Schizosaccharomyces pombe: one gene and its partners. The gene in region 4 interacts genetically with the main gene of each other region. Each region holds a gene or a part of one and is shown on either strand. Other genes may lie near its edges.

Evidence for each region.
Region 1: of sre1 (region 4) and tom70, extra expression of one rescues a mutant of the other (dosage rescue), as found in Schizosaccharomyces pombe (one study listed by BioGRID).
Region 2: of sre1 (region 4) and ofd1, extra expression of one rescues a mutant of the other (dosage rescue), as found in Schizosaccharomyces pombe (one study listed by BioGRID).
Region 3: mutations in sre1 (region 4) and ccr1 together harm fitness more than expected from each alone (negative genetic interaction), as found in Schizosaccharomyces pombe (2 studies listed by BioGRID).

Annotation. Positions count from the first base shown.
Region 1 is NC_003424.3:2,429,793-2,437,200, reverse strand, and holds tom70 (TOM complex subunit Tom70), read right to left. Parts: upstream 3,822-7,408; 5' UTR 3,810-3,821; coding exon 1,932-3,809; 3' UTR 1,578-1,931; downstream 1-1,577. Other genes in the region: SPOM_SPAC6B12.14C (uncharacterized protein), read left to right, coding at 1-202; SPOM_SPAC6B12.13 (protein phosphatase inhibitor), read right to left, coding at 613-734, 960-1,152; drc1 (DNA replication preinitiation complex assembly protein), read right to left, coding at 5,094-5,344, 5,385-6,017, 6,074-6,203; DNA primase catalytic subunit Spp1, read left to right, coding at 6,584-6,657, 6,742-7,408.
Region 2 is NC_003423.3:2,641,212-2,648,607, reverse strand, and holds ofd1 (2-oxoglutarate and Fe(2+) dioxygenase domain-containing protein 1), read left to right. Parts: upstream 1-1,970; 5' UTR 1,971-2,014; coding exon 2,015-3,562; 3' UTR 3,563-3,882; downstream 3,883-7,396. Other genes in the region: SAGA complex deubiquitinating submodule subunit, TREX complex subunit Sus1, read left to right, coding at 144-223, 292-538; U4/U6 x U5 tri-snRNP complex subunit Prp1, read right to left, coding at 3,898-6,618.
Region 3 is NC_003423.3:2,530,132-2,537,910, reverse strand, and holds ccr1 (NADPH-cytochrome p450 reductase), read right to left. Parts: upstream 4,937-7,779; 5' UTR 4,449-4,936; coding exon 2,412-4,448; 3' UTR 2,317-2,411; downstream 1-2,316. Other genes in the region: spo5 (meiotic RNA-binding protein 1), read right to left, coding at 1-1,013, 1,069-1,412, 1,461-1,690; SPOM_SPBC365.16 (uncharacterized protein), read right to left, coding at 6,090-6,923.
Region 4 is NC_003423.3:1,688,763-1,697,100, reverse strand, and holds sre1 (transcription factor Sre1), read right to left. Parts: upstream 5,708-8,338; 5' UTR 5,274-5,707; coding exon 2,571-5,273; 3' UTR 2,410-2,570; downstream 1-2,409. Other genes in the region: SPOM_SPBC19C2.10 (BAR adaptor protein ), read right to left, coding at 260-1,177, 1,293-1,880; U4/U5/U6 small nuclear ribonucleoprotein complex subunit PRP38, read right to left, coding at 6,123-6,613, 6,812-6,953; fructose-bisphosphate aldolase Fba1, read right to left, coding at 7,658-8,338.

The DNA of each region.
Region 1 (7,408 bases), on a different chromosome or scaffold from region 4:
TTCCTCCGTTCACAACCATCACGACAATTCTGTCTTAAGAAATGAAGATACACAACTACAGCCTCATATTGTATGCAATAGAACTGTACGCGCCGGTCGCCCAGTCTTGGATGAGGATGACGAGGAAATGAACATTGCTACCCCACATAAACGCAGAGTTTACGACTTGAATTCTAGCTGGATGAAACGTGGACGAAGGTGATAAGTTATTCTTATTGTACTACCGATATGTCCAACTAATTAAAAAAAGCACCTATGTCTGTTTTGCATTATAATTTATTTCAGAATCTACGAGTATATCAAACAGTCTCTTTTTTATCAAAAGTCCCGCACTTTTCTTTGACACTTTTCATACATTTGATGTAAAGTTCATTAAAAAGAAAAAGATGAGTATCTGGCTAACGTTGAAAAGCATAAAAGCTGCTATCATTTATTGTGGGATTTTTCAAAACCTTTACAAAGGTATGACTGCTAAAGCCATCGAGATTCCTTTTCAAAACGTATTTTAAGTTTCAAAAGTAATGTTGGAATTGGGTTTTTGGCATATTAAGAAAAATACTTAAGACATATGACTTATATCTCATTTTCAATATAGGGGACTCAACGAACAACCTAAGCGCGTTCATATGCATTGCGACTGCAACATGAGGAACAAGAGGAATCCGAGTCCGAATCACTATCTGAATCGGATGAACTTTCATCAAACTTTCTCTGTTTGTGAAAGATACAGCACACTAGTAATATTTAGCATCACATCATGTTAAATCCTTTAATTTTCTATGTTCGTGTATCAAGCCTCTAGTGCTTTGATAAATCAAAGATAAAGAATGTAGATATGTATAAATAGACTCATACTGTCCAATTTTTAAAATCAATATAAGTCTGAAAGTTGTGCTTGTTGCCAAAGGATGGAACAAGGCCTATTCTCTTCTTCGTAAAATCACCAGAACTTCACTTACCTTTCGATTTCTTTTTATTCATATGCTCATTATCTACAGTGCTTACCGTCCATCTAACTCTTCTGACTGGTTCCGGTTGTAAATGGAGCACATTCTCAGATTCTTCATGGCTTATTGACGCGGATTCCTCCGTACTTTCAATGGTAACTGTAGCTGATGAGGAGATATCACCTAACGGTCTTGTGAGTTCCATGGGAATTGTCAAGATTACGTTGAGTGATAAAACACGAAGTTCACTGTTTTATAAGTGAACCTTCAGTTTCGTTAACCAACTCTTCCTCTCAAGCAATTGCTTCAAGAAAAACAATTTTAGTGTAATTATTATAAAATTCCTCTGTTGTTTGAAAGACGATGGCGAAGAGTGGTGTGCACTTCAAGATGCTTGCTATTCTCTAATAGGATATTCTTCTATTCCTTTTTCTTCACTATATAAGATTGTGAGAAATCGTTACTGCGTTATATCTCCCTTAGGTTACATCTCCCTTGATGACGAAACCAAATATTGTTTTCCTAAAAACCTTCAGCTGCCTATTTCAACTTATTTGGTAAAGAGAATTAATAGACACCTACCATTTTATATTAAATTAGAGTCCTAAATTATGATAACATTCTGTAATGGTTGAATCTCAATGGGTATAATATTTCATTGCTATTGCTGTCGTTAATAAATACACTACCTACTAAACATGAAGTACAAAGAAATAATAAGTTCACATTTTAGGGAGTAGCGAACAAAATATCATTATTGCTAACCCTAAGAATCAAGTTAAAATCAAAAATCCGTCAACCAGAATACATTAGCAAACATGTTCCGTATACAAAACTTCGTTTGGTTTAAGGATTTTCAGCACTTGCTGTCATCCAAACAAAAAATTTCCGAGCCACATTAAAATTGGAACCTTTTTAAAGCATTCAAAATGTTTTCGCCAACTGCTTATTTTGACTAACAGTAATTCTCATATACAATCTCGTTTACATAGGATTGCTTAAACGACCAACCAACTGTGGGTACTTTTCAGTCAAGGCAATTTGCGTACGAGTAGCCTCAGCATATGAAAACGCATTCACCATTTCACTTTCAGTACGAGCCAGTTGTGCAGATTTCTCGAAATATTCAAGGGCTTCACGAGCTTTACCTTGTTGCAATAGGAATTGAGCCATACTGGCAATTGCAATATCACATTCGGGATCAGCCGATAGAGCCTGTCGACAAAGATTTTCAGCTTGAGATATATCTTTCTTCCATTGGAATACAGCAAGAGCCTTATTAATCAAAGGCATTGCACTCATAATTGTTAGATGTTCTCTCTTCTCAAGCTCAATTGCATGATCAAAGTTCTTGACAGCATCATCGAACTTTTGTTGATCTAAGAGTATTTCACCAAAGTAATTATAAACTTCGCTTGAATTAGGGAACCTCTTTTTACAATCTTCAAATGTCTTCATTGATTCCGCAATTGCATGAGTCTTATATTGAGCTACTCCAAGTTGGATATGGCTATAAATAAAAGAGTCATCCAATGCAATAGACTTTTGATAATCAGAAATGGCTTCTGCAAACTCACCAGAAACAAACCTAACTTGTGCACGATGATAATAAAGATCCGAATCGGTTTTATCAACAGATTCTGCATCATTCAGTACCTTCCACATTTTTTCATTATCATTTTCATCTAAATAAGCGGCTGAGAGACGAATATATGGTTGAATGAACTTGCGATCTAATTTAATAGCTGCATTAAAATTTTCCATCGAACCTTTAGAGTCACCAGATACAAATTTAAAAGTACCAACTAGATTATGAGTGCGAGCATTAACCGAAGGAGATGAGAAAGATCCCAGACAGGATTCCTTTGCTTTATCGTACGAAAGTTGATATTCACCCTTTTCTAAATATTCATAAGCCTCTGCTAAAGCAGCATCACCGTCAAATTTATTATCAAACAAAGGTTTTGGTTGAGCATGGAATGAATCGAGATAAGTCTGGATAAAGCTGGCAGCTGGCAATTTAGGAGGACGTTCCTTTAAAAGAGCAGACGACTTCTTTTCAGCAACCTTTTTTAACAATCGTTCAACGGTAGCAGTCATACTCTCATTAGCGAAGCCATCGAAAATGCAGGAAACGGTACTATCCATAAGGGCTTCATCCAATTTACCAAGTTGCTCATAAGCAGCAGAACGACGATTTAACGCTTTCACATAGCTTGAATCAAGTGAAAGAGCTTCACTTGTATCCTTAATTACTTGCTCAAAATCACCGATGGCTGCATAACAGGCTGCACGATTAGAGAAGAAAATAGGGTCATGAGAGCAGGTGATAGCCTGAGTATAATAGTCAATAGCATTAGCATATTCCTTTTGTCCATAAGCCTTATTACCAAGAGTCTTTAACTCGGCAGCCAATTTTGCCCTTTCCTCCTTCGTCATAGATTTTACCGATTCCTCAGTAGCAATTTTATCGACAGAAGAATCGCCGACCTTCTTGGCTTTAACCTTTTTTTTATTCTTCTTCTTCTTTTTTGCAGCAGCAGCAGCAGCGGCTGCTGTTTCAACATCCTTTCCAGTTTCTGAGCTTTTAAGATCCTCTTCTTTTACGACCTTTGCAGCTTCATTTTTTCCTTCATTAACTTTGGATTCAGCCTTATCTTGATGAGCCTTAAGTTTTTTAGAACGTTTATGACTAGCTTTTTTCTGTTGTACATGATAAACACCCCCAACTGTAGCAAAAACGGCAACAGCACCAATAGTGTAAACAAATGTCCTATGGCGCCTTACAAATGCTGAAACGGAATTTAAAACTCCAGAAGACACAATTGCCTTACCATTTTCTGCATTGGATATACCAGACATGGTATTGGTTTTGGCTAGGTTGGTACCGATTCATGACCACTATACTTCAGCAAAGTGAATGCTACCTTATTGCATTGCTAACGAACTGCAAAGCACATTCATTGACAAAGGTTAAGGAACTAAAACTTGATTACGAAGTGATAGAAAACAAAAAAAGAAACGGTGAACAGCAGTTTAATAGGAGCTATTATTATGAAATGGTGATAATTTGCACAGGTGCTAGTTTTATTAATTCTACTCAATTCCGCATCAAGTAGGAATTTAAAAAAAACTGCTCCAGCAGTGACTTGAACACTGGGCCTCTTGCTTACTAGGCAAGCGCTCTACCACTGAGCTACAAGAGCTGATGTTATCCCCGTATAAAATACAATATATAGAGAGCGTAGTAAAGAAGTTTACCTTAAACAATGAAACGTATTGACTGTATTTGTTAATTACACAATGCACTTCTTTTGGATTCTGATTATCTAGAGCCCTTTTATTTGTCTTTAAAAAGATTTGTTAACTTGATTGTAGGTTGAACTATGTTTTGAATACAATTGAAGAGTTGCGACCAAAATCTATTACAGTTGTTGCCTGTATCTTATAAGCTATCTATTATTTAAAGCATGGTTTCTTAAGTTGTAAATGACATTTGGAAATGACTATTCATGTTTTGAAGTTTAGCATCAACGTATGGTGTTTAGGTTGTCTAAAAATTTAGTTAAGAGGAAATTTGGCATCGCTGTCCCCTAAGGATGAATAAGCTATGCAAATCCATGTAAAGTAATGATGATATTCAGCTTTCATGTATTCCTCATTTCAATAGATCCAAACTTATTTGAAGCTGTTTTTTTATTTGTCTTTCTCGCCAGCTTCAATATTGAAGGTTCGATTTTTTTTGTACTTCTTCTTTCCTTACGTCCTCATGATATTCGTATATCAAAACGTTCCAGTCTTAGATTTAATGTTGGACGAATGCCTACGTAAAAATATAAAACGTTTATCGTTCGATAGTAACTAATTTGATTTTACCCGAAGATTAAGAACAAGAAATATATGATTCATTCAAACTTTTATATTTCCAAAATTTTTTTAACAGGATACCACAAACTCATGATGTATTATTTCATTTAAATCTCAAAAACCCACAAAATCTATTTCCAGGTTTTATTGAATGCATGATTTATTAAATATATATACCTCTTTAACATTCATTGAAAAAGTGTATATCCTATTAAGGAAGATCAGAAAGTATGTGTTTTTTTAAATACAACAGCAAAGTTCCGATTGACAAATTATATGTTAGCTTCTGTGACGCCGAAATTTACGTTTTTTTAATTTGTAAGAGGAATAATTCTGGCTTACTTGTTTTCCAATAACAAGCCCGTTTCTCATAATCTTTTTATTTTGTCGTTCACTCTGCAGATCTAAAAATGGTGACGAATCTTTGCTAGCAGTTGTATCTTCATTGTCGTCAATGCCATTTTCCGCATCTTCGTCTATTTCAGGAAGACCTTCTAAATGACTTTTGGAAAGATTCATTGAAGGGGGCACTAAAACGTTAGTTCAGGTACAAACAGGAGAAAACCTTACATTTAACAAGACGATTTTGTCGTTTAATTTTTTTCTTCATAGGTTGTGATATGTCTCTATCTACAAGGCTTTCTGAAGATGAGCTACTAAAGCTTTCAAACTCCTGCAATATCTTCTCTTCATTTGATCCGTAATCATCTTCAATATCTTTTAACTCACGAAGCATTTCACTGAGACTTTTTCGGCATGGCGCATTAACTCGAAGTAAGTTAGGAGATGTATAAACTTGAAGGCGATATGAAGAGGGGGTTTCAAGAACGGTGGGAGTATGTTGAGCCACAGGTTCGGGATTTTTTGATGGAGTAGTCGGTATCATAGTTGATGAAATTTCACTAGTGTTATGTTTTATATCCGAAATTTGATCCACATGAGAATCTGCAATGGGAGACATGTCTTCAAGAAGGTTAAGTACTCGACGTGACAACTGTGGAGTAGGACCTAAAAGACTTTTATCCACAGTTTTCGGAGTAACCTGTAGATAATCATTTCGGGGCGCTTTAGGACTCTCGTTCGCTTCAGTTTCAGCACGCTGTTTTGTAGGAGTTTGAAACTTAAAGTCGACCTTTGTTTTTGCTTTTTTAGGGGTAATGGAGGATTCGCGTTTCAACTCGTAGTATTGCTTATATAAAAGCGCTAAAAAAGTTCGTTAGTTTGCTTCAAAAATTCAAGTGTATCTTTGGCTTACATACCTATTTCTGGTTGTTTCTTCACATCCTCCTTAGAAGGTTTGCAATTGTTCGTATGGACGTACTCATGTTCCCACTTCTTTAAGAGCGCTTTTATACTAGATATTTGTTTAGTTCGTGATTCATCGTGCATGATTTGCCAATTAATGCACTGCCTGGACCCAATTTCAATTTTGTAGTGTTCGATTCAAACAACTGCAAAAACAAACTCAAAACAAAAAGAGAGGCTAATCTACATAAACATATATTTCTTCTAATTCTATATGTGGAGAAATACCATTGCACAGAGTTTGATACGTATCTCGAAATGCAAAGTTGAAATGTTAATTATGCTTTAAAAGTAAAGTAGATGCACTAATGAATGCTCCATTTTACTGCTGAATGTTTACGCATACGTTAAGCAGTTTTTTAAATTTAAATAACGTATAACGTTTAAGTACGCTGTCGTTTCCTTTTGATTTATGGTTGAGCTGTATGTAAATAACCTTTGTTTTTAGCTAAACTTATTACAATATGACTGTTCAAATCGATGAATTGGACGACAAAGATTTGGATGAGATAATTGCAAACGGAACACTTGATGGCGCGTAAGTGTGAATACTGAACAATCTTAACTATGGACTCGATTGAGCCTCTAAAATAATGAAAATTCTCTAACAATTTTCTTATAGTAAACAGGGAGCTGTGGATTCAGAGACGATGATTCAATATTATCGCCATCTTTTTCCGTGGAAATATTTATTTCAATGGTTAAATCATGGTCCGGTAGTCACTAATGATTTTGCTCATCGGGAGTTCGCGTTCACACTTCCTAATGATGCTTATATTCGTTATTTATCTTTTTCAAATTGGGAAGAGTTAAAAAAGGAAGCTTTAAATTTATGCCCAAGCCGATTTGAAGTTGGACCCGTTTATAGTGCCAATCCCAGGGACAGGAAAACAATAAGGAAGTCAACATTTCATCCGCTTAAAAAGGAACTCGTTTTTGATATAGATATGACTGACTACGATGATGTACGAACCTGCTGCTCAAAAACAAATATATGCGAAAAATGCTGGCCATTTATTACGATCGCAGTTCAAGTTTTAGATATTTGTTTTCATGAGGACTTTGGATTTAAACACATATTGTGGGTATACTCTGGTCGAAGAGGTATTCACGCTTGGATTTGTGACGAAATTGCTTGTTCTTTAGACGATCGGTCTCGTAGAATGATTGCCAGTTATTTACAGGTTGTAGTAGGTAATCCTCAAGGTGGCGTACGACTTATTAATAACTTAAAAAGACCCCTTCACCCACATTTGACTCGTTCTCTCAACATTCTCAAATCGGCCTTT
Region 2 (7,396 bases), 950 kb from region 4:
CCTGAGATATCGTATTCAGAATGAAATCCAAATATTTTATTTTTCAACTCCTAAATTAAAAAATGATTTAATTATAAAGGTTACTTTTCAATGCTGGTTTAAATATTTCGTTTGCATCTGCAATGGTATATTTCTGCGTAGCAATGTACGACCTCATATTTTCAACAAAGATGACCACTGAGAAAATTGTTGAGCAGCTATATGAAACTGGAGATTATGAAAGGTATAAAAGATAGGCTTTCTTTTTTAAAAAAAAAATTTTATAACTAAACAACAATTTAAAAAATGTAGGCTAGCAAATGAATTAGAATACAAACTTGAATCCTGCGGTTGGACAACTCAATTACGTGACTACACTCGGGGAATTGTGAATTCCGATTCTAAAATTGATTTTCAAAAGCTATATGAGAGCGCCTTGCAGTCTGCAACTGAAAGTATTCCCGATTCGGTTAAAATGGACTTGCTCAAAGACATTAAGACCTGCGTTCTAAAGTTGGCCAATCCTCCTGAGTCAGCAAATGGAGGGAATAAAATGTAACACAAAAATAAAAAATTATTGTTTTTCTAGTTTTTTGGTGTCGAAGTGATGCACCATGCATGAGGGTACTCTTTGGTTACATTGGATCATTTGAGACTGAAACAGTGAGAGGAAAAAATAATAAGGATATTACTAACAACGATTCTATAATAAAAGGTACACAATTAAAAATTGTTGGATTCATTATGTTATGATACGGTTTCGTTCCTCATTCTATATATTTGCAAATATGCTCTTATTAGCAAGTCGAAGAATTAATAGCAATTTTCAAAATCTTGGAAGAAGAGCATTTGCACATAATTATAATTTTTAAAATTTTCTACAATATTTGATAGTGCATCATTTCGCTTTGTACAAATGTAAACAAGTTTTCATGCAGATATTAACAATTGAAGGGCCGTACAGCTTTAAATCTTTGTTATGGGATAACTGATTATAAAATATGACCAAGATATAAAAGCCATCGAGTAATCTCAGGAAATCACAATAGTTCATGAAGTATAGTATAAGTTATCCATAAAGTTGCGCGTAACGATCAGTAGCATATTATTTAAAAAAAAAAAAAAAAAAAAGGAAAAAATAGTTAAATGGATAGTTAATAATCGTACTTCTCTAATTTACTTTCTTTTCTTTTTTTACTATTTAATCAAACACTGGGATTTCTTATTGTTATTGATTTCGGCCCCCACTTGGGACAATTTTCCTTGTAAGTTATAGACTGCTTGAATTGCGTTTTGACCTTTATAATAACCCCACTTAGGGTTTATTAATATCTTGACTACTATACAACTAATAACTATAACCTTATATGGGGGTCAATAACCCAATTTGTTCAGGCAAAGTATTTAATGCAATATTTGGCCATAGACATAAGTTTTGAAATAGAAGTATAGAAACAAATTGTTCCCTTTATTGAATATTAATTTTTAAAAAGAAATGAGATTAATTTCCGAAACCTGAAATGCGAGTTGTGGTAATAAAACTAGCTACGGTTTTTTTAAGGAATAAAAAAATAGTACTTTAAATCACAAACATCTTGAATAATTCATTTATTTGATTCAAAAGCATCAAAAGAAAGTTATCTAACTAATCAGAAAATGGAAAAGAAAACAGATTACTGTTTAAGATTCAAACTCTTTTAGCCTTATTTTGGGACTATACTGTTCTTTAAGCTCGAAGCGTTACTATCCAAATATATAGCAATAGGCAGAATTACGGATAGCACGTTGTTTTAAGCAAGCGAAGAATTAACCTGCGTTCCCTATCATTAAACAAATTCACAGTTACCGAAGTCACTCCGTAATAGGAGGTCTAAGAAAGTCTTACGATAATTCAAGAATGTTACCTATGGTGAGACCCGAGTCCATAAAAATGGGTGGGATGCTTTTCATTGCTACTATTGGGAGTTTGCCAACCACTAAAATTTTTACCTAATTGCACATTATATTCAGGTGAAATCTCAAATATAAAAACGGGATGGGGGATACTCAACAACCAACAGTGCTGGATAGATTTGCGCCTCATGCATTAGATACCAGTGAGGCAGAAAGACTTTCACGGGAATATCACAAAAATGGACCGTATAATCATGTTGTGATTCGTCCTCTGATCAATGATACACTTCTTCGAAATGTTCGTAAGGAACTTATGGAAAACATACATTTTACAGAGAAAGTAACTGATATTTACCGTGTTTGGCAAACTGGTGATCTAGCAAACTTGGATGGATTAGACAAGAAAGAGCAAAACATGCTTAAGTATTTGCGTCAAGTTCGTGATGCTCTTTACTCTGAGGAATTTCGCTCTCACGTTCAAAAGATTACCGGCTGTGGCCCTTTATCGGCTAGCAAAAAAGATTTGTCTGTTAATGTTTACTCAAAAGGATGCCATTTGATGAATCATGACGATGTTATTGGTACCAGGTGCATTTCCTATATCTTATACTTGGTAGAACCTGACGAAGGTTGGAAACCCGAATATGGAGGTGCACTCCGGTTGTTTCCTACATTACAACCATCCTTTCCTGCTGCTGATTTTTGTCACTCCATTCCTCCTCAATGGAATCAACTCTCTTTCTTCCGAGTTAAGCCCGGACATTCATTCCATGATGTTGAAGAAGTTTATGTAGATAAACCTCGAATGGCTATTTCCGGCTGGTTTCATTACCCTCAGCCTGGCGAACCTGGTTATGACGCTAATTACTGCGACAATACCGTTTCTACTTTGCAGTCTTTAACAATGAAACAAATGGACTTAGAACTTCCCCGGTTTTCATACTACCCAGTTGTTAAGCCAGAACCTTTATCCAAACAGGATACTGATATTTTAAGCAATTATATTAATCCACTTTACCTGACACCTGATGGCATTGAAAAACTATCAAAACGCTTTTTTCAAGATTCTGTTATTGTTTTAGTAGAGTTTTTAAATCAGGAATTTGCAAACACTCTCCTTAAGCGAATCATCGATGCTGAAAGGCAGCCCACTCCTATGCATTCTTCCGAAGTGTCATTCCCTTGGAAAACTGCCATTCCTCCTCATAAGCACAGGTACCTATATTTAGATCATGAAGAGTTTGGCCCTGATATTATTTTGCCCATGGATTTGCAGCGCCTTCCTGCGTTTCAGCGTTGGATCCAACTTGTCAGTGGCTTACCCCTTCGTTCCTTTCATCAAGTTGGTCGACGATTCCGCCCTGGTTCCGATTTTACGCTTGCTACTACGAATGACACAGCTTTACTAGAAGCTACTCTTTGCTTATCTCCGGGGACAGGCATTGCGAATACTGACAATGGTGCATATGATATTTATATGATTGGCGATGAAGATCCTGATGTAGATGCTGCTGTGTATAGGGGTGATCAGCAAGATGACAGTATTTTGCTTTCTTTGCCAGCCGCTTGGAATGTTTTTTCTTTGGTTTATAGAGATGAAGGTGTCCTTCAATTTGTCAAATATGTGTCGCGTCAAGCCGAATCTAGTCGCTGGGATATATATTCACAATGGAATCCCGTTGCTGAGTAAAGGCAACATATACTTAAAAGGGGTTACTTAATTTTTTTTTCTCTAATTTTTTGTCTTATTTTTGAAAGTTTTTCCCTTGTGTTTTTTAAAACCCACTTTCGTGTTGATAGTGTGTATTACATAAAAAGTTTTGGTTTACACTTTTACTGCTTTCTTAACTGGTATTCTTGTTGATTTAAAGTAAGTGTTCAATCGAACCTGTTTAAAAATCGTTCTTTTTTATTAAAAAGTCCGTAAATTTACAAATATCTAAAGTAAATTCGAATACCAATTTAAACATTAATTTTAAGATAAATAATAGATCCAATATGTTACAGTCATCATTTTTGTCGTAATCATAACACATTTATGGCAAGATGTAATAGTTCCTGCGGAGTTTTCCGAGAATTTTTGATATCTTTAGTAATACTGGGCCAAAAATAACCATGATGAGGATCAGCGGTTTCAAAACTTGTAAGCACTTCTTTCTGTTGGTCTTCGTTCCCAGCCTCTAAGCTATACTTATAAAACCAACACCACACATCTCCGTTATCTTGGTCAGCCTTAACAGCTTTTAAAAACCAACTACGCGCCTTATCTGCTTTTTTTTCCAGCCACAGCATCCTGGCGATGGTGCAAAGTAAATGTGCATTGCCTTCACATTTCCTTAAAGCATCTGTAGCACGAGTTTTACGCTGTGCGCGAGGTTCAAGCCATATAGCCTCCGTCCACAGCAAACCCGAAGATGGGCATTCCTGCAAGGCCTTAGCAAGGGCTGCACGAACTTGTGAAATATTCCCCGCCCGGAGTTCCATTTTTATAAGTTCAAGCCATAAAAATTCATTCTTAGGATTTTTAACCTTAGCCCTATCAAACACAACTCTCGCGCGTATAACGGACTGCTTTTCTTCAAGTTTGGCTAGCAAAAGCCACAAAGGTATGGAATAAGGACAAACTTTTGTGCCAGCCAAGTATGCGTCTCGAGCAAGCTCAATCTGCTCTTTATCTTCAAAAATTTGACCCTTCATCATGTACAACTTATCATAATGGGGATAAATTTTCAGTGCATTTTCCAAAAGTTGTAACGCCCGATCTTTTTCGTCCAAAATTCGTTCAAGCGAAATGGATTTAGTCCATATTCGTTCAGTTCCCGATTCGATACGAGCACGGGCAAGTAGCTTTCTGGCACGTTCATTTTCATTGTTCACAAATTCAATTCTGACAGCAGCAAGCCATATCTCTTCGCTATTAGAATTATATTCAAAAGCTCTCCCAAGAATATTCCGAGCACCAGCAATATCATTAACGTTTTTTCGCTCTTTAGCATAAAGCAACCATAAAATTTCGGCTTTAGGACATGATTCTACAGCTTTTTCTAAAATAGAACAAACACTTTCTGTTGTACCATACAGCTTTTCAAGTTCAACAGCTCTCAGCCAAAGTTTCTCACTTTTTGGATAGACTCTTAAAGAAAAAGCAAAAACAGCACGCGCACAATCTATACATTTACGAGCTATAAAAGATTGAGCATCATCTAACCAGGTGTCGAATTGATCTTCTTCATCCAATCCAACACCGAGGCACGTATTAATTATAGCTTGTGCAGTAATCACTGCCCCTTCAGTTTCGCATTTTTCAGCCTCGGAAAGCCACTGATCGCGTTGTAACATACCACCAGTAGCCTGTAACTCACTTACACCACGAGCCATTATTTTTTCCACCCGTGATACATTACCTTGCTGTTCTTCCAAACGAGCAGCAGCAATCCAAACCTCATGGGAAGTACGGATGGTTTGTCTGGCTTTATTGAGCACCTTTTTAGCATTCTCATAAGTTTCAAGTCGAGCAAGAGCTAACCATAAATCAATGGACATGGGTATTAATTCAACGGCACGAGCTAATAGTATCCTTGCATTATCCACTTCTTCTTCTAAATTTACAGCTTCTTTCCATAAGCTTACAGAAGTCGGGTTAAATTCTAAAGCTTTTTTTATAATCCTTTTTTTGTGCTGAGCTTGATTTTCAAGTTTTTCGGCTTCAAGCCATAACGTCACTGACTTTGGTAATTTTTTAACGGCATTTGCAATAATAACTTTTGCTTCTGCAGCCGGGTGTAGTCGTATTGCTTCTAGCCAAACATCCTCAGAGCGAGAACAATTTTCGCAACCTTTTAAAATTAAAGATTGTGCTTGAGATAATTTATTCGCGACCTCTTCAAGCCGCGCAGCAGCTACCCAGCCAGAGGCGTGCTTTGGATTCGTTTCAATAACACTTTGCAACAATTTTCTAGCTTTTCTTATATCACCCAGGTCATTGGCATTTTTTGGAACCATACTATTCAGACTAGTTAAATACCCCTTCGGATCTATAGTCGATGGTGAAGTCAAATTCGACGAAGCTTGTGCTAACTTGATACCTAAAACTTTGTCACGAGCAGCTCCAATTTCAACAAAATTTGTTTTTGTCCCATTCATATCTGGAGTTTCTGTTCCTGCTTGAGTATCCACTGCAAAATTAGAGATAGCTTGATTTTCATTGCGAGCACTTGCAAGAACAAAATCACTTGTTGCATAAAATCTTTCACGTCTCGGCTGTTTAGTCCTTTTTTTACGAGTTAGATCGCCGGGTTCTGGGATATTATTCCAGTCTTCATCTGTCAAAGTGGATAACCCACGTTTTAAGTCCGCAAATTGTGAAGAAACCTTGGGGTTTTCTTTTTCATATTTTTCTTTCTGTAGCTGTTCTTGTTTTTCACGTTGGGATTTTCTTCTTTTACTTAAATGTTCCTCTACAGATTGATATATTTTATCAGCTTCTTCGTCCTCATGATCATATGGAGCAGTAGCAAACAGCGCTACTTCATTGTCAGGATCCTGATAACGAGGATCGATATCTTCTTCTTCCTCTATTTCTGATTTCCTTTGTTCAATTGCAGCCTTTATAGATTCTTGGGATGGCAATTCTTGAGCAGGCCCAAGATCTGAACGCGTTGTAAATCCTGTTGCACCACGTCCTAAACCTGCTACATAGTTAGGAGGTGGCTGCATATTCAGAAAATCTGGATAAAAGTTTGCCATTCTAATTATCTGCAATTAAATGCAATAAGCCGAGCCTTTCGGCTTTATAAATATCTGGTAGTGGCTTTCAAATTTTAAAAGTAGGCAATACGAAGAAGAGAAATTAACTCCTAGCAGCTTTACTACAACAAAGTTAAAAAGAGCCATTAGGTAAAAGTAAATTTAGAAAAACTTAAGATAGAATATTTCTTAAACAAAATAAATTTCCTACTGTATGTAATGATTTTACAATCAAACGATATATAAATAAGCATTGTGATTGACTTGTTATACACTGAACCGCTAACACACGAGTATTTATGATTTAGCATTTGATAGCCAAATAAATTTATTAGATTTTTTGCAACAATTTTGAAAAAATGCATGAACAGTGTTTTCTTCCTTTCTTTTATTTTCCTACTTTTCTTTGAAGATGAATTTACACTTTGTAAATCAATGTCGTGTAAAGTATGCAGAACGGTTGAAATTACGAAAAATATTGTTCATCACAAGCTTTGTGAGTATTGGAATTAAACAAATCTTAATTGAATCCGAGTGATAACTGGACAGACGTTGCAGCAATATTTTTGCATGGCCACTACGTTTGTCTTTTAATGTCTCGGTATATTATACTGGTGTTTCAAATCAATGCTCATCGTATCTAGTATGAGTGTACCTGGACACATCAGTCAAATTTATTTTCGCTTGTAAATTGTCTTATTCTTTATCATAATGCCAAACCATTGTATTTAGAATTTTATTTGCAAAGTAATTTACCAAAACATATTTAACATCTTAA
Region 3 (7,779 bases), 840 kb from region 4:
ATAAGTGGGTGAATGTTGATAGACTGTGTTCGACTCCAATGGCACATACATTCCAACTTTAGAGGGCATAGAGTTATTTGCGAACTCCTCAACTTTGGAAAAAGCATTATTAGCTGTCATTCCCTTAGTTAAAACACTGTATTCACGAGCACGCCATAATCTTCTTTTCTGAGTCTGACCTTTAAACTTCTTCTGATCAGTGGAATCAGCAAAACGGATTTGTAATGGGGGTAAAGCAGGATCCAAGACAAAGTTATTAAATTTATTAATTATGTCTTCAGCCGTTTTACGATCTTGCATACGAGCAAACCCAACACCTCGAGATTGTTCCTTAGAGTCACGAAGTACGCGGTTTGATATGATTTTGCTGGGTTTAAACAATGTGGAAATATCACTTTCATTCCAATGAAGAGGAAGATTAGAAATATACAGATTGGTGCTTTCTGTGTCTTGTAGACTTTGAAGACGTGCACTGAAACTTTCTTTTGCAAATGAACACTGATATCCACATAAAGTCATGGCTGAAATGCAAATCAATGCAGATTTCTCTTCTTCAAAGCATGCAAACCCATATCCTTTACATAAATTCGTTTCCATATCAATTATTGCTTTGCTGCTACTAACTTTACCAAAACGATTGGTGTAAAGCAACAAATTTTCATCCGAAGTGTTGGGAGGTAAACCACGAATGTAAACATTCCGAGTACGAGAAGTGCTTTCCATGTTACTTTTTTTATTATCATGAGACATGGGAAACATGCTGGGAATGGCAGGAGGAATTGCAGGATGCAATCCAACCAGTTGAGAAAGGTAATTTGTATTCTCCTTTGTTGTACCGACACTCATTTCTTGATTAATGGCAGCGGGAATATTTTTTTGCCCTTGGGAAAAAGAAGGCATCGAGAGAGAAACTGAATTCGTAGGCACAGTCGCTGAAGGAACTGGCGCGAGATATGTTGGTTGATTGACAATATGAAGTCCCGGCTGATTTAAAGAGGGCATTTGAGGATATACTAAAAGACGAAAAGTTTGGTAAGTATTAGTTTTTTCATAAGCTGTGTATCATACCATTCTGAACATATGGTTTTAAATACTGATGAGTATTGTTAACATGATAAGGGTGAACAGACTGATGAGTCTGCCATTGTGAACCATAGCAAGGAGCTACAGAATTGAATGCAGGACGGAATCCAGAGACACCCGGTCGATTGTTGGAAATGGCTTGTGACTGTGCATAGTATGACGGATAATAAGAGTTGGCATAGTAGGCGTTTTGTTGTGGCAGTGTTCCATTATTAATATTGTTATTTGCATATGAAATAGGATCGGTTGTCATAACGGTTGATTGATCAGCAGCACGCCTATTTAAATACGCGGCCTGTGCTGCTGTAGAATAAGTATTGTTTTTTATACTATATTCCTAGTTAGTATTACATTACACATCTGTAATAGCCCTTTACCTGTTTGGCTTCTTGGAAAGCCCTAACTCGCTAGAACCAGGCGTTGCGTTTGGGCTTGTTCCTGGTGTTAATAGTATAATTGTAGAGTCCAATCCTTCACTTTTTTTCGTGTCATTGACATCCACAGTTGTTTGACTTGTTGGAGTAGACAATTCGGTAGTGGATAATGGATCACGAGAAGGAGAAGACATTAATTGTTTTTGTTTTTGAGGCGTAATTATTCCATTCATCGCTCTTATATGCTTTAAGTAAATAATTTTTAAATTATGTATACTTTAATGTTTGAATATATGTTAAAGGTAAGTTTTTGAGCGCGCGAAATCTGTTAATAAACAAATCAAGGATAGCATTGTGTTGCATTAGATTTGATAACGTAGAAAAAAAATACACTTAAAGGCTCAGTTTTATTATACAGTTAGGATACATGTATTAATTATGCTTGTACTTTTGGAAACTTAACTTTTCCGCATATTACTCAATGTTTTGCGTTGACAAGTACACATTGACCGAGGATTTAACTTATAGCATCCTGTACTCTAACTTGATGCGTGTATTTTTAAAGCAAAAAAAGAATTATCAAATACTTTCTATTGTATGTAAATTGATCAAACATTCGCAATCGCCTTAATTATTGAAGTGCAATGAAGTCGACTGCCAGTGTTTACTTTGTTACCCAGCTTTAAGTCGGTTTAGGTTTTTCAATCATGACAAACACAGCACTTTGTGTAGATTCGCATTTTCGGTAGACATTTTTGAGCAGTAAGAAATTCAAGTTGGCAGTTTATTTTTGATATTATAACGTTACAGAGTACTGTTCGTTAGTTGCTACAAAAACTATGTTTTCTATAGATAAAAATACCGAGTGGAATAATGATTGTATTAAACTATTTCTAAGATGAAAAGGCATCATTAAGTCTTGAAGTAATCGCAAAGTCTGGATAAATTCCAAACTTACCAGGTATCTTCAAAAAATCTATTGTCATCTCGAAGAGCTTTAACGGCTTTCATACCGTCAACATCAACAGTGGTCAGAATAGAAGCCAATGCATTCACAACATCTTTAGCCATATGATCAGCATCACCGCAGATATAAAAAGCAGCCCCTTCTTCTACAAGTTTAGCAATGGTATCACTGTGCTCTAAAAGACGGTGCTGAACATAGATTTTATGATCTTGCTCACGGGAAAATGCGGTAATCAGTTCAAAAGAGTCTTTCAAGACATCTTTGTATTGTTGCCATTCTTCCTTATATAAAAAATCCTTGTCAGAATATTGGCAACCATAAAATAAAAGTGTTTTTGCTACTTTAACTCCTTTAGAAGCTAAATTAGCCCGTTCCATCACAAAACCGCGGAATGGGGCTACACCAGTACCCGGGCCTACCATTATTATGGGGACATCGGGAGGAGCCAATCGAAAAGTAGATTTCTTTACAAACATCGGAATTTTTCCGGTCCAGTTTTTACGAGGACCCTCAAGGGTATATTCCAAACCATTTGGATGTGGAATTTTTTCACCGTGCATATGACGACAATGTGCCAACAAATAATTAGTAGTTAGTCCATAAAAGATATGATTCTTATCAGTCCATTCTTTCTTGTCAACTACCGCTGTAACGTGAACTTTGTCAGGATGCACTACACTGCTCGAGGAAATCGAATAGTAACGCGGTTTCATGTGTGCCATATTTTCCAATAGCATTGAGAATGGAAGTTTTGTAAATGGAGCGTCAGGAGAAACACGACGAAGGACTTGAGCAAGGTTTAGGTGCAAGTCTACAACGTTCTTCTTAAAGTAGTCATAATCGTTGCCTAATTTCTCGAGTTCTTGCTTAGATTCTGGTGTAGGAGCGAAAGGAGCAATAAAAGAAAGCAGTTGCCTGGAGACGATACCACATATTTCATAGTAGTAGCGAAAAACAGTGTCATAGGTAGTAGGACTTAAAACAGGAGCCTTATCGAGAGTATCGATAGGTTTAACAATTATTACAGTATCCCTCTTCTCTTTGAGACCGAGAACTTCGAGAAGATCATCAACAGCTTGACTAGGATTCATAGGACAAATAGAAGCGTAATCACCTGTTTGATATCGCATACCAGAGTCTGCGATATCCAACTCTAAATGTAAGCAATTACGACTTCCAGATTTGAATAGCTCAAGAGATCTGACAGGAGAAGAGAAAAATGGATTAGCTTGAGAACGTGGAGCTTTCGATGCAACATTTCCTTTCAATTGCTGACGACTTGGTTCTCCCAAAAAGACAGTAGAACTAGTGTTGGAAATTTCAGGCTTCTCAATAACTTCAAACATAGGATTGTATTCCTTGTGGACTTCTTGCAAATGGAACAGCTTACCTATCTCAGGTAAAGTATCATCCTTCCATTGTAAATAGTCCTCTTCAAGCATACCAGCGGCATCGTCGCCCAAACCTAGATTGCCCACACGAGTAGCGCCTAAACGAGTCATTGCAGCATCTACCTTTTTAGCCATTGCGTTATAATACTCATAGGTATGATTTCCAAGGCCAAAAATTGCATAACGAATTCCTTCGAAGGGAGTATCTTCAATGCCTTTTCCACTTGAAAAAACGGTATCATCGCCCTCAAGAAGTTGCAAAAAGGCCTCCGCATTGTCCGTAGGTTCACCTTCACCGTAAGTTGCGAGAAAGAATACCAATAGTTTTGATCTATCAAAGTTGTCCAAGTCGGTTAAATCATAGTTCTCAAGATCGAAAACCATATTGGTAAGATTGAAGTTTGCCTTTGCTTCCGTTGAAAAACGGTAGGCAAAGTCCTCAGCGGTACCAGTTTGAGATCCAAAGAAAACCGCGGCAGTGAGCTTTTCGGCCTCCATCAACTCGACAATACTGTCGGTAGCCACGACTCGCCTCTCAGGAGCCTTTGGCTTGTTGAGAAAATTGTTATAAATAAAGTAACACAAGCTAAGGATCAAAATAATGACCAGCAATACATATTCATAAGTCTTCATAATGCAAAAAATATAATAACCAAATTTTACGAGTGTTCAACTTCGGGATTTAATCCGCCTTTTATTCCAAGGGTAAATGTGCGTGTAAAAAACGAGTGAGTCAACAGAATTGTCTGATGATAGGCAGATGCGAAATAAAGAGCGAAACAGTACTATGCTTTTTTAGCTTGAACCACTTTGAAGCAGATACACTAAAGCGCGAGACAATAAAAATGAAGAAACTCAAACAAGGGTTTCTATAGCCTCTTAAACAAAAAGTCAAGTATTTATCCAAATACTCTAAAGAATCTATAAAAATCAAGATGAAGTATGTAGGCTAAGATACTTAATTAATGAAACAACTGCGCTTTATATGATGAGCACAATAACCATGCCAATTGAACAATCAAATAGATGCTAGAAAGCTTCTAAAGTAATTGACTTCAAAAAGCAATCCTTTCGGGAGAAAAGCTAATTGTTTTGGCAAACGCTAATACCTGGTCGCTGGTAACTCCTGCACCTATATACTGCTATAATATAAAAAAAAAAAATATAGTTCGATTTTTCAATGATTACTTTTTGAAAATTTCTATTAATTAATAAAAAACTATTTAATAAATTCATGTATTAATTTTGGTTAATTAGCATGTTCAACGAAGTTAAAGTTTGACAGATATAGATATCCAACATATGTAGTAAGTATGGATGGAGAGATAAAAATGGGAATGGGAATGAGAGTATTTTTAGATAGAAATAGTGTGACGGCAATCGTACAATAGTTAATTTATTGTGGCAAGCCATCGCAATAACAAAATACCTCGGGAAGAGAATTAAGCGCAATACGAAATTATGGTAAATCGGCGATTCTACTAGTAGGTGTTTATTGTTTTACTAATTATAATGACGATCAGTAAAAAGTAGGTGAGCTTTGAAAAAACCGTTGCTATACACTTTAGGATTTATTTTGACGAACCAATTAATATGGCTACCGTAGTACGGTACATTTTGAACCATTCAGTAAGCTAGTAGATAGGAATAAGCTATCGTCTTTCTGGTCAACATTGGAATGCAAAAAGAAATAATCTCACTCTGTTTATCGGTTTTAGGTTTCTACCGAAAGCCCATTCAAAGACCGTAAAACACTATCGGCAAAAGCTGTTTGTAAACGAACGATAAAAGAATAAATTTGCTAAACAAGCGGTCTTTACGGTTGCTCGTTTTTTGACATACACAAATTTGATACTCAACCATACTAAACACAAACGAAAATGACTTAAAATAGAATTCAAATTTTATTTATTAATGTACAAAAGAAAACCATGTGTCTCTTTGCCTCTTTATTTTCTCTTGCAGTTTTTCTTTTTTCTTCAAATTCTTCTCCAGACAAAGAAAAAACTCAGACGCATAAAAATCAAGTAGAAAACTTTTTTAAGTGAAACCTTCATTACACATACACTATATAGTTCATTCAAAAAAGTATGCAGCTTCATGTTCCAGATAACAGGATGTATGCCACTTTCCTTATATAGGTTTAAACCGTAGTCCACACACTTTTTAGACACTATTCAGTAGTGAATAATAAAAAAATGATGAAAAATAATAATAATAAAATAATAATAATAATAATAGCCGAAAGAAAAAGGAAAGAACGTCATGTATGGACTAAGCAAGAGCAAATTGTTGTTTTTTCATAGTACGTTGTTGAAGCGAATCCAAATAAGTGGTTCGTAATTTACGATTAGTAACACCGCCAATACCAAAAGCCGGAAGAATCCTAACCATACGGGCGAATGTGCTTTTTAGTAAATGCTTACGAACTTGCATAACGCGGTTGGCTGCTGATATGTTAGGTCCACCTCTGTTATAAATGTCAAGGGACAGGAGATGAAGAGGTGTGCTAATAAACTGTACGGCACAGGGGGTGAGCAATTGAGCGGTGATTAAACCACCGGGGAGTAATGGAGCAATCATAGGAGGTATGTTGAAGGAAAAGGCGATGGTGAGTGCATCACGAAGTCCATAAAGACCGTAACAAGACCAAGGGAGAGGACGAGGAGAACCGGTGCCCCAAAATTTGGTAAAGAAACTATCCTTCAAGATGGATAAACCGCTGTTTGCAGCGGTGACAGAACAGAATTTAAACCAGCCGGAAGTTTCCGCCTTGAAGACGGGATTCTTGTGACGAATGTTATCCAGTGTGTCTATGGAATTGGCCGTCATATATGTGCCCGAGTATAATGTAAAGACCAGGGCAAAGGGAGCGCTAAAAAAGAAGGCGCCTGGCTTTGATAAAACATATTTGATGGAGCGACTAACAGAGCGTAATAAAGTAGAACGGCCACTAGTATTTTCGACGATTGAGCGGTCGATCGTCAAGATAAAGGGAGAAATCATGGCACTGGCGGCTGTAGCGGCAAATGCATCGATGCCGATCCGCTTCCAGGTATTGGAGGGAACGGGTTTGGGGGACAAAGGGGGTTGACTATTAAGAGCCATGTTAAAGTCAAAGAGTTTAAAAAAAAGATTAGAAAAGATAAAAAATAAGAATAAAAAAACCAGAAAAGATAAAAAAAATATTAAAAACTTTTTTGTGAAAATAATAAAACAAGCCAAGCAAAAGGTCTTTAGGTATCTATTTTTCTCTCTTTTTAAAGGTTTAATCTAATTTATACAACGTTAAAGCTGAAAAGAAAGAGACGATTGCGAAAAAAAAGCAAAGCCAAAAATAATTTTTCTTCAAATAAACTGCACTTCAACAAATGCAATGAAGGAAAAAATTTAAAACGTTAAACACGAATAGTATAGGCTAACGGGGCAGATAGTACAGGTGAGAGGAAATGTCACCAAAAAAAGACAATTAAAAAGATGCTGAGTAAAAATGAAAGACCGAGAAACGACGACAAGACCAATTGAACAACAAAAGTAGTAGTAGTAGTAGTAGCAACAAAAACAAGTAAAGAGAGGGAAACCAAGTAATTCACACTTTGGAAATGTATATATTCCTTTCTTTTCTTTTTCTAAGTAAAAAGATATATATTATATCAACAAAAAAAGGTAAACCCGAAATCCTAAAATTATTATAAATACAAAAAACCAATAATAACCACAAAGTCCAAGTTAAAGCAAAACCACTTGGATTGTAAGAAGGAAGATTGATGGTGGTTTAAAAAAAAATAAGACGATGATTGGGATTGTGAATAAAAAAATTCAATTCAATTTGATTCGTATCGTTAAAACTGCTTCGCTCAATCAAAACTAACAGTAACGTGAAGTAGGCGATATAGGGAAAAGACAGAACGATTTCCAAAATAAGAACGACAAGTGACTAAGCCGTTTCTATAGCAAACAAAGG
Region 4 (8,338 bases):
TAAACTAACTTTTAAGGTTAAGATCACTCAATTTTAATGTCATACAGACAAGTATATCGACAGTCGAAATAAAAAATGAAGAGTACCGGGTAACGTGATGCATAAAAATCAGTCGGTATTATGCTAAAAAAATGAAATAATGCAAAAGAAAGGAGCTTCAAAAAATCATTTAAAATGAAATAAAAAAGAATGATTGTAGACACAACAGCCATTAAAATTGGACGGAAAGTAGCAGCAATAGTACTCGGAATAAATGGGACTACTTAAAGCCCTTTTTCAAAAATGCCCGAAATGTTTTGTCCCATGGATGGGCTGGAACACAATAATTTGAAGGAAACATTCCGGTATTTCCAGTAAAAACCCCATCTTCACCCAGTTTCTCCCCAACCCACCAACCTTCATCAATTTCTTTTAAAACTAAAAGAAGATCTCCCTTTTTTAGTTTTAACTCATTTTCTGTTTCTGGCTCAAATGAATATTTCATTCGTACTACCTTTCTGGATGAAATGGAAGCAAGTGGAGATGAATAACTACGATTAAGCTTGCTCGGGGGAGCATCAGAAATGTTGGAAGGTGAAGGGGATACATTACACTGAGACTTCAACTTTTCATCCAATTCTGCCGACGAAGCAGATAATTCCGGTTGTTTAAAACTTAACTGGATATCCTCCTCACTTTGTAACGATGCCGGTTTGACTGGGGTACTTTGAGTCGTAGACAGTTTGGGTTTGGTATGACGGGGGATTGGAGGTGATGAGGGAGTTGTTAAATCTACAGCAGACTGCCCCAATGAATTTTGAGCATCCGAAACATCCTTGTTATAATTATCTTCAGTATGCTGTGTTCTATTTGAAGAAGCTATGGAAGAATTGTCCAGGTCAGCTTCTGTATGGTAAGAAGGGAGTGTATTGGTGGGAGAATGATATTCATTTGAAGAACTATCGGCCTTTAAAGTATCATCCATTTCAAAAATGGTATTCGAGGGCGTTGTTGCAACATTTGTTGAAGAAATATTCGATGGAATAGATCTTGCGGAATAAGTACGCTTTGGAATATTAACGTTATCCCTCTTCTTGGAAAATCCGTTCATCTCAAGTCCCTTTAACAAATCGAGACTTTTTTGATGAAATCGTATTTGCATCTGTAGGAGTCGTACAACGTTTTCGACACGATCAGGCTAAAAATTAGTTAACAAAAATATTGAGTCATATAAGATAAGTTAGGCAGGCCTAATAATCGTTTAATTATGGCATCAAATTGGTAACGAATGTCATTAGGACGATAATACTTACCTCTAATTCTTTCAATTGAACCATTCTGTCTTCAAACTCTTCCAGAGACTCCTCGTATTTTGCGCGAGCATTCCGTAAATCTTCTTCAAGCTTTGACTCTTCTTTTTTGGCCTTCTGTATTTTTGTAGAAAGCGCGTCAAAGACAAGTCGTCGATTTTCCATCTTCTTTTCCTTCACATCTAAAGCCTTAAACTCGGCTAAAGAATTTTCTAGATTTGCCAAAAAAGAATTGTTCAAATAATCCATAAACTCCTCCTGTAGGTGCCCTATTTCAACCATGCTTTTTCCGTACATGATATAAGTGTGCGAATTGCTTGAAGAATGCGATAATGCTTGCCCTAACTCTACAAAAGACGATCCAACGTGAGTAACAGGTAATTGCTTATCTTTCTCGTCGAGCAGGCCCTTTCGTTTATCCATATTCCGTACCCATCTTGTGCAACTTCTATGAATTTTATCCATTCCCACAAGCCAGGCATCCGTTTCACCTTTCAAGGAACAAAAATCATCAGATAATGTAGTCTTCTGACGATCAAAACCAAATTTTTCACCGGTCCATTGTGAAAGCTTTGCAAAATGTTTGTTCATCTTCAAAGGAGAGCTAAGTTCTTGAATCGACAAATAATAAAAGCGAGTCTATTTATTTTTATTTTAGGTTGTAGGATTCAGAATAAGTTAACCAATATAGTAGTAAATAATACATAAAAACAATTTGGTAGTTTGTTTACCTTTGGTGAATGGTTCGTATTACTCCCGAGATTTCAGTAAGGACGGAACTACGTACTGTACCGTAAAACTTCAGACCACTCTTATCTATCTTATGCATTTCCATTTTATTAATAATTGACATTCTTTTTTTTATACAATTGGTATAAAATGGATATCAGCAGTCTAAGATTCAACACATCTTCATCAACAGCAGAGAGTTAACTGCAAGAGAAGAATCCAATTTTTTAATCTTGCCAATGTGTCATTATTTAAAAAAATAGTTAGTTCGATGAACCTTAGCATGCCTCAAATTGTACTCTATTCATTTTATTTAATCACCAAATATACTCAAATGGTGAATTGTGCTAGCTTGATACAACAAAATAACTCTAATTGCATATTTTTATCACTGCTCTTACCGACGACAACTGTAATTTATTAAAAGAATAATTAAAACTAAAAAATGATACGCAAAATAACTGATGAAATAACAATCATGGAAAATAATAAGGTAGTTGCAATAGATGAGCGTTGTATACTAACTGTTCTCAAAGCTCGAGAATCGACAATTTAAGCTGATGAAACATAACCCAAATCTTCTTGTAAGCGAGATCCAATATCTATGCAAGAGTTGATTAACTTACGAGATAATTTCAAATCTTGAATTTTCAAAGTTCCGATGGCCGTCCGCACGTACATGGCCATCTTTTCAACGACATCGTTTTCCTTTGGAGATGTGCAAATAGGAGCAAAAGTGTTCAAAGCGGTCCAGGAAATAATAAAAGATAAAGGTGTAATGTCTGCATCACTATCAGGTACAAAGATTTCCTGATACATACGTTTAGAAACATCCCCGTATCCAAGGCGTTGGAGTGCTAATGATAGGCATGAGTGGAGTGTGAATAGCTTGGATAAGTTGATCTTTAACACGCTTGACTGCTTGCGTTTATCTTGGCTGCATAAATCCAAAGTGTTCTTGTATGCTGCAAGGACTTCATTCAAAGAATCAGCTGTATTCTCGGGGAACAAAACCAATTTAGCTAGTAAAGCATGACGAATAATAGAGGAGTTCTTAGGACAAAGGGAAATAATTTCCTCAATCTCGGATATCTCAACTTTACGGCTCAAACTTTCCATCAAAAGGGCATCCAACAAATCAGCGGCATACCATGAGGCAAGCACCTCTAGAGGAGATAAAACCAAAACATCAGATAAGGAGCTAATAATACTATCTGACATTTGAGCAGAGTCACGGGTGCACTTTGCTAGAACCCACAATCGCTCAACCATATTCGGAGAGAAAACGTCGTCAGCGTGGGAGTTTTCAATTAGGTTAGCAGTACACTCAGGAAGCTCACGTAACTCCGCGTGTACAGAACTTTTGCTATGTTGTTTCTTTGCAGCATTCCAGAAGAAAGCAACGCACTTCGAAACGATAGCGGATGGGACAGAGGTGTTGGAAAAAATTAGTTGGCAATACATTGCTTGTAAAGCACAAGTATGACTTGAAGGAGGAAGAGAAAATGAACTGGCAAATACCATTAAGAGCCTCAAACGGTCAACTTTAGCATCACCACCCATTAATTGGGCATCCAAAAGCTTTTCCATGTTGCGAACTTCAGCAAGTTGTTGCTCACTATAAACCCAATTCTCAGAGGAGGTATAAAGAGCACTCAAACGATGAGTCAAATAGCCATAAGCAGATTTAAGAGTGAAGATCAGTAATCCAAAAAATAGAGAAATAGTCGAAGTAGAATGGTCCAATAAACAATACTTTTCGAATACGGTTTTTCGGAATAAGATTGAGGATGGTGACATGGAAGATCTGGTACTAACTTTAGATTTCTTTTCACCCTTGAAGCCTTTGAAAAGAGAGTTATCGTGCAAAAGATAGAATAAACCGAGTAAAACAACACCAATTTTCAGCATGTTAAAGAGAACAGTACCTGTGAATGGAGACATAAGAAAAGGTGGAAGAGCGAATAAACCATAAACAGATTGAGAAGAATCGTTTCCAAAATAATTGAATAGACCAAGTCCAACCATGCCATTTAGTGCTGTGCGGCCCATGGTATTTAGGGTTGGGGAAGTAAAAGCTCTTTGGGTTAGGTTTGGTCGAGAAGATTGGTGAACAGAATAGTCAGATGAGGAAACAACATTAACAGAGTTAACGGCTCGAGTATCGTTAGAAGGAGGAGCCATCGAAGGATCTTCGTAGAAAGCCAGCCTATCTGAAAGCTGCTTGTTAGTCTTCTGTAGTTCCTTATTCTTGGCCTCCAAATGTCTGATATACTCAGTTGCTTTTGCCAATATTGTACCCTTGTTAAGCTTACGAGCGGGTGTCAAACCCCCCAAATCCTCATCGTCCAGAGAATTACCACAACGAAGTGCAGCAGCAGCACGAAGTGAAGGAACTGCATCACGCAATTCACAAATTCGGTCGTTCAAGTTGGTTCTGTATCTCTTCTCAATCATGTTATGAGCTGTCTTCTTTGGTTTTCCTCCAGGACCGGCTACAAAATCTGGGGTTTCAGAAGGAGATAATGAGCCTCTAGACTTGGGGGCCGAAAAAGGTAATGTTTCAGGAATTGAGCAAGAATCTTCCGAGGAAGGAGACAACTTTATTTTCTTGGCAGAAGGTTCAGGCTTGCAAGTGGTGTCCATGGGTGTAATAATTTCTTCGGTTTTCAATTTGACTTCTGGATTTGACATATCAGCTGAAGGATAATTTTGAACAGTCGATGGATCGATTGTATCAACAGAGTGAAGGATTTTCATTTGGCGCTGAATTTTATCATCGGCATCGAACTCATTCAATGATGGGCCGGTAAAGGTCTCATTCTGAAATGAATTTGGAGAGCCGCAATTAGAGAGAAGAGGATTTGTAGAGTTTTCTAACGAGTTAGGGGAGCCCATGTTGGTCGAAGTAAACAGAGGAGGCGCCGAGTTCATCGTATTGTCGAACGCAAAAGGGTTAAGCCAATTGCTCATTGATGACTCCATATCAGAAAGGGAAAACGAATGGGGAGACAACGAGGTGTTGGTCAAGGTTGGAGGTGAGTCCTCGACAATGCTAGCCAAATCACACAACAGATTGGAACAATTCTCCACAAAGGGAGTAGAAGTTGAAGCCTTTGTCGATGAAGCCAAAGGGGATGAAGAAGGAATCGCACCCACTGAATTGGGTGATTTGCTGTCAGGCGAAGCTTTTGTTGGAGTTTCCATTGCAGGAGAAGCGACCGACACGGAAACTGACGGAATTGAGCTTTGCATATTTAACAAAATTTCCAGCTAGAACCAAGCGGAATTTAACAGCGAGTTAAAAAATCCAACAATAAAGAGAAATTGAATTTAACTCTTAGGGTTTTTTATCTCTGTGACTGTATAGGATGTTGAGCGAATTTTCTAATCGAGCTACAAATTATCCAAAATTTGACGCATTAAAAGCTATCCAAGGCGATAGATAGCAAAATAATTTCTTGAATGAGTTGTAAAATAAAATAATGTTCTTAGCAAGAAGGAAATCCAGCTTGATAATCGTTTAAGATTAGGTTATAGCAAGAGTCGAGCGCAGTAAACAAACTCTCAGCAACAACCCAATTGTTGTCAATGAACTTATAAAGGCTACTGGACGTCCTATAAGTAAAAAAATTTAAAATCGATCACCCGATAAGCAAAGTTAGGATTGCTCGAGTATGGTAATGGATGAAAGAGAAAAGTCGTGTTAATTCATATGTGAGCAAAAAAGAAGTGGACTGACATGTTTTTAACGAAACGTAAGAAAATAGACGGAATGGGGTGATTCGTTAAAGTATGGTGTGAAAAAAATTCCGTGGCGTATCAAAGACATTTTATAAATATTTAGTGTGCTGTAAACTAAGTCTATCGAAATTTGTTTACAAGAAAAAATAGCGTATTTGCGATAATATGTGAAATCGATATATATTAATATACAAATCTATTTGATTAGATGTTTGTTATTCATAAATTGTTTTTTAATAAGTTCAAGTGTAAAACCATTTCAATCCATAACTTTTCCTTGTAGAGTCATTCCAAGTTAAATCGTAGACGCATCACAAAATGCGTGCTTCGCTTTACTCTTTTTTTGTATATTACTTATCCTTAAATATTCCGATCTACAGCACCTTCATTGCTCTCCAATTTACTAATTTGTTCTTCATCATCATCTTCTTCGTCTGAAGAAGATGAAAGTGGTTCAAGCAAGTCCAAATCTTCAAGTTGGAGTCGACTTCGCAATGGGGGCAGGGAAATATCGCAAACTACTTCGGCATTTAGCAAATCATCAACAACCTCATCCAGATATGTTAATCGGATCTCAGAATTAGTACGAATTCTTAATTTCCGATAATCTCTTAACAGCGGTTCCAACGTTTGATGCACTTCCACATCATCCCATGTAAGCCGAACGTAAAATGCAGCCAGGGCACGTAAATACTTGAATTCAGGAATAGATAGGTACTGTTGAATTATTTCTTTTTCAGGTGCAATTTGTAAAAGCTTGTATAACAAACAGATAAACTCGGTGGGCCGTTGATTTCCATACTGACCACCTATATATTCAAGCCGTACTGCACGATCCACCAATGAACAAGCTAAGATGTATTAGTCAGTGAATTTGGAATAACAGTTTGAGGACTGATTAAAACAGCAAGTACCTATACTTGGTTTCTTTGCTTGCCAAATCAAGTTCATTTAGGCTATATCACTCAAAATATCGATTTGGAAAGTAATCGTACTTGAACTCTAATATGTAAAAACACTTTCCTTTTCTGTCAATGAAGAACACATACCATTCAATCCAAAACATTGTTCTTTCCAGTAAATAGAATCTACTATGCGTTCTCTCAAGATTTTTCCTATAAGGAAAGTCGGCAGCATTTCATGCGCCGCCTCACCTTGAGAGCGATAATCTCTAGCAAGAAAATCAGCCATAGTACCTCATGAAGAGAATGATTGCTCCAACCTTGATGTCTTGACTTGGAGTAAGCTTTTAAGGAGCAGTAGTGTACTGACAATATAAGTGGTCAAGTCTGAAGAAGCATGCTGAGTTTTGATTGAGAAAGGGTTATCTAAAAAAAACATGGATTCGTGAAATATGGAGGAAAAGGGAAAATGCCCGTACTCATTGCAATGAAAGAAGAAAAAGTTGATCTACTAAACAATGCACACTGTGTACACAAAGCACATGAAATTCAAGCGATTATGTTGTTTTAAGCTACTCATCGAGATTTGCCAAACGATATATATTAAATTCAAATAAACGCACGGACATATTATTTATTCATTCATTGTCATGTGGAATCGGAAATTTTTTTTTTGTAAATTTATATACCTAAGAACACATTAACCAATTAAGGAAGATGAATAAAAGGATAAAAAGAAAAATCTTAACAATATACAGTATGCTTGAAAAACACTTTACAAATCCAATCCAAAAAAATTTCTTAACTTACTTTGCCCTACTTTACTTCAAATATCTCTTATGCTTTTACAATGGTAATTTTAAAAAACAATGTCTCTATATTCAAACACGTAATTTCAAAACAGTATGAACTCTCATTAAGGGGACAAAAAAATATAATTTTAATGAAGCCCACCGTCTATTCAATCATTTCCATCTTTCAAAAACCACAAATTTAGAGAGTGTTGACAGTGTAGAAGTCCTCAAGAGCGGTAAGAACACGCTTGGTCATGGTCTTCTCACCCTCATGGATCCAGACACGAGGGTCGAACTTCTTCTTGTTGGGCTTGTCAGCTCCCTCGGGGTTACCGACGGGGGTCATAAGGTAGTCCTTGTACTTCAAGACATAGTCACGGACACCCTCGACGTAGGCGAATTGGGTATCAGTGTCAATGTTGACCTTGACGACACCGCACTTGATACCAGTACGGAACTCGTTGACAGAGGAACCGGAACCACCGTGGAAGACGAAGAAAACGGGCTTGTCGTTGGTGGTCTTGAGTTGCTCCTTAACATAGGCTTGGTGTTGACCCAAAAGAGCGGGTTGGAGCTTGACGTTACCGGGCTTGTAGACACCGTGGACGTTACCGAAAGCGGCGGCAATGGAGAAGTAAGGGGTAACGGAGGAGAGCTCACGGTAGACATCCCAGATGTCCTCGGGTTGAGTGTAGAGCTCGGTGTGGGAGACGTGAGAGTTGTCGACACCGTCTTCCTCACCACCAGTGATACCGATCTCCATCTCGATCCAGATCTTCATGGGAACGGCACGCTTGCAGTACTCCTTAACTTGAGCAATGTTCTCCTTCTTGGGCTCCTCGGACAAGTCAAGCATGTGAGAAGAGAAAAGAGGCTCACC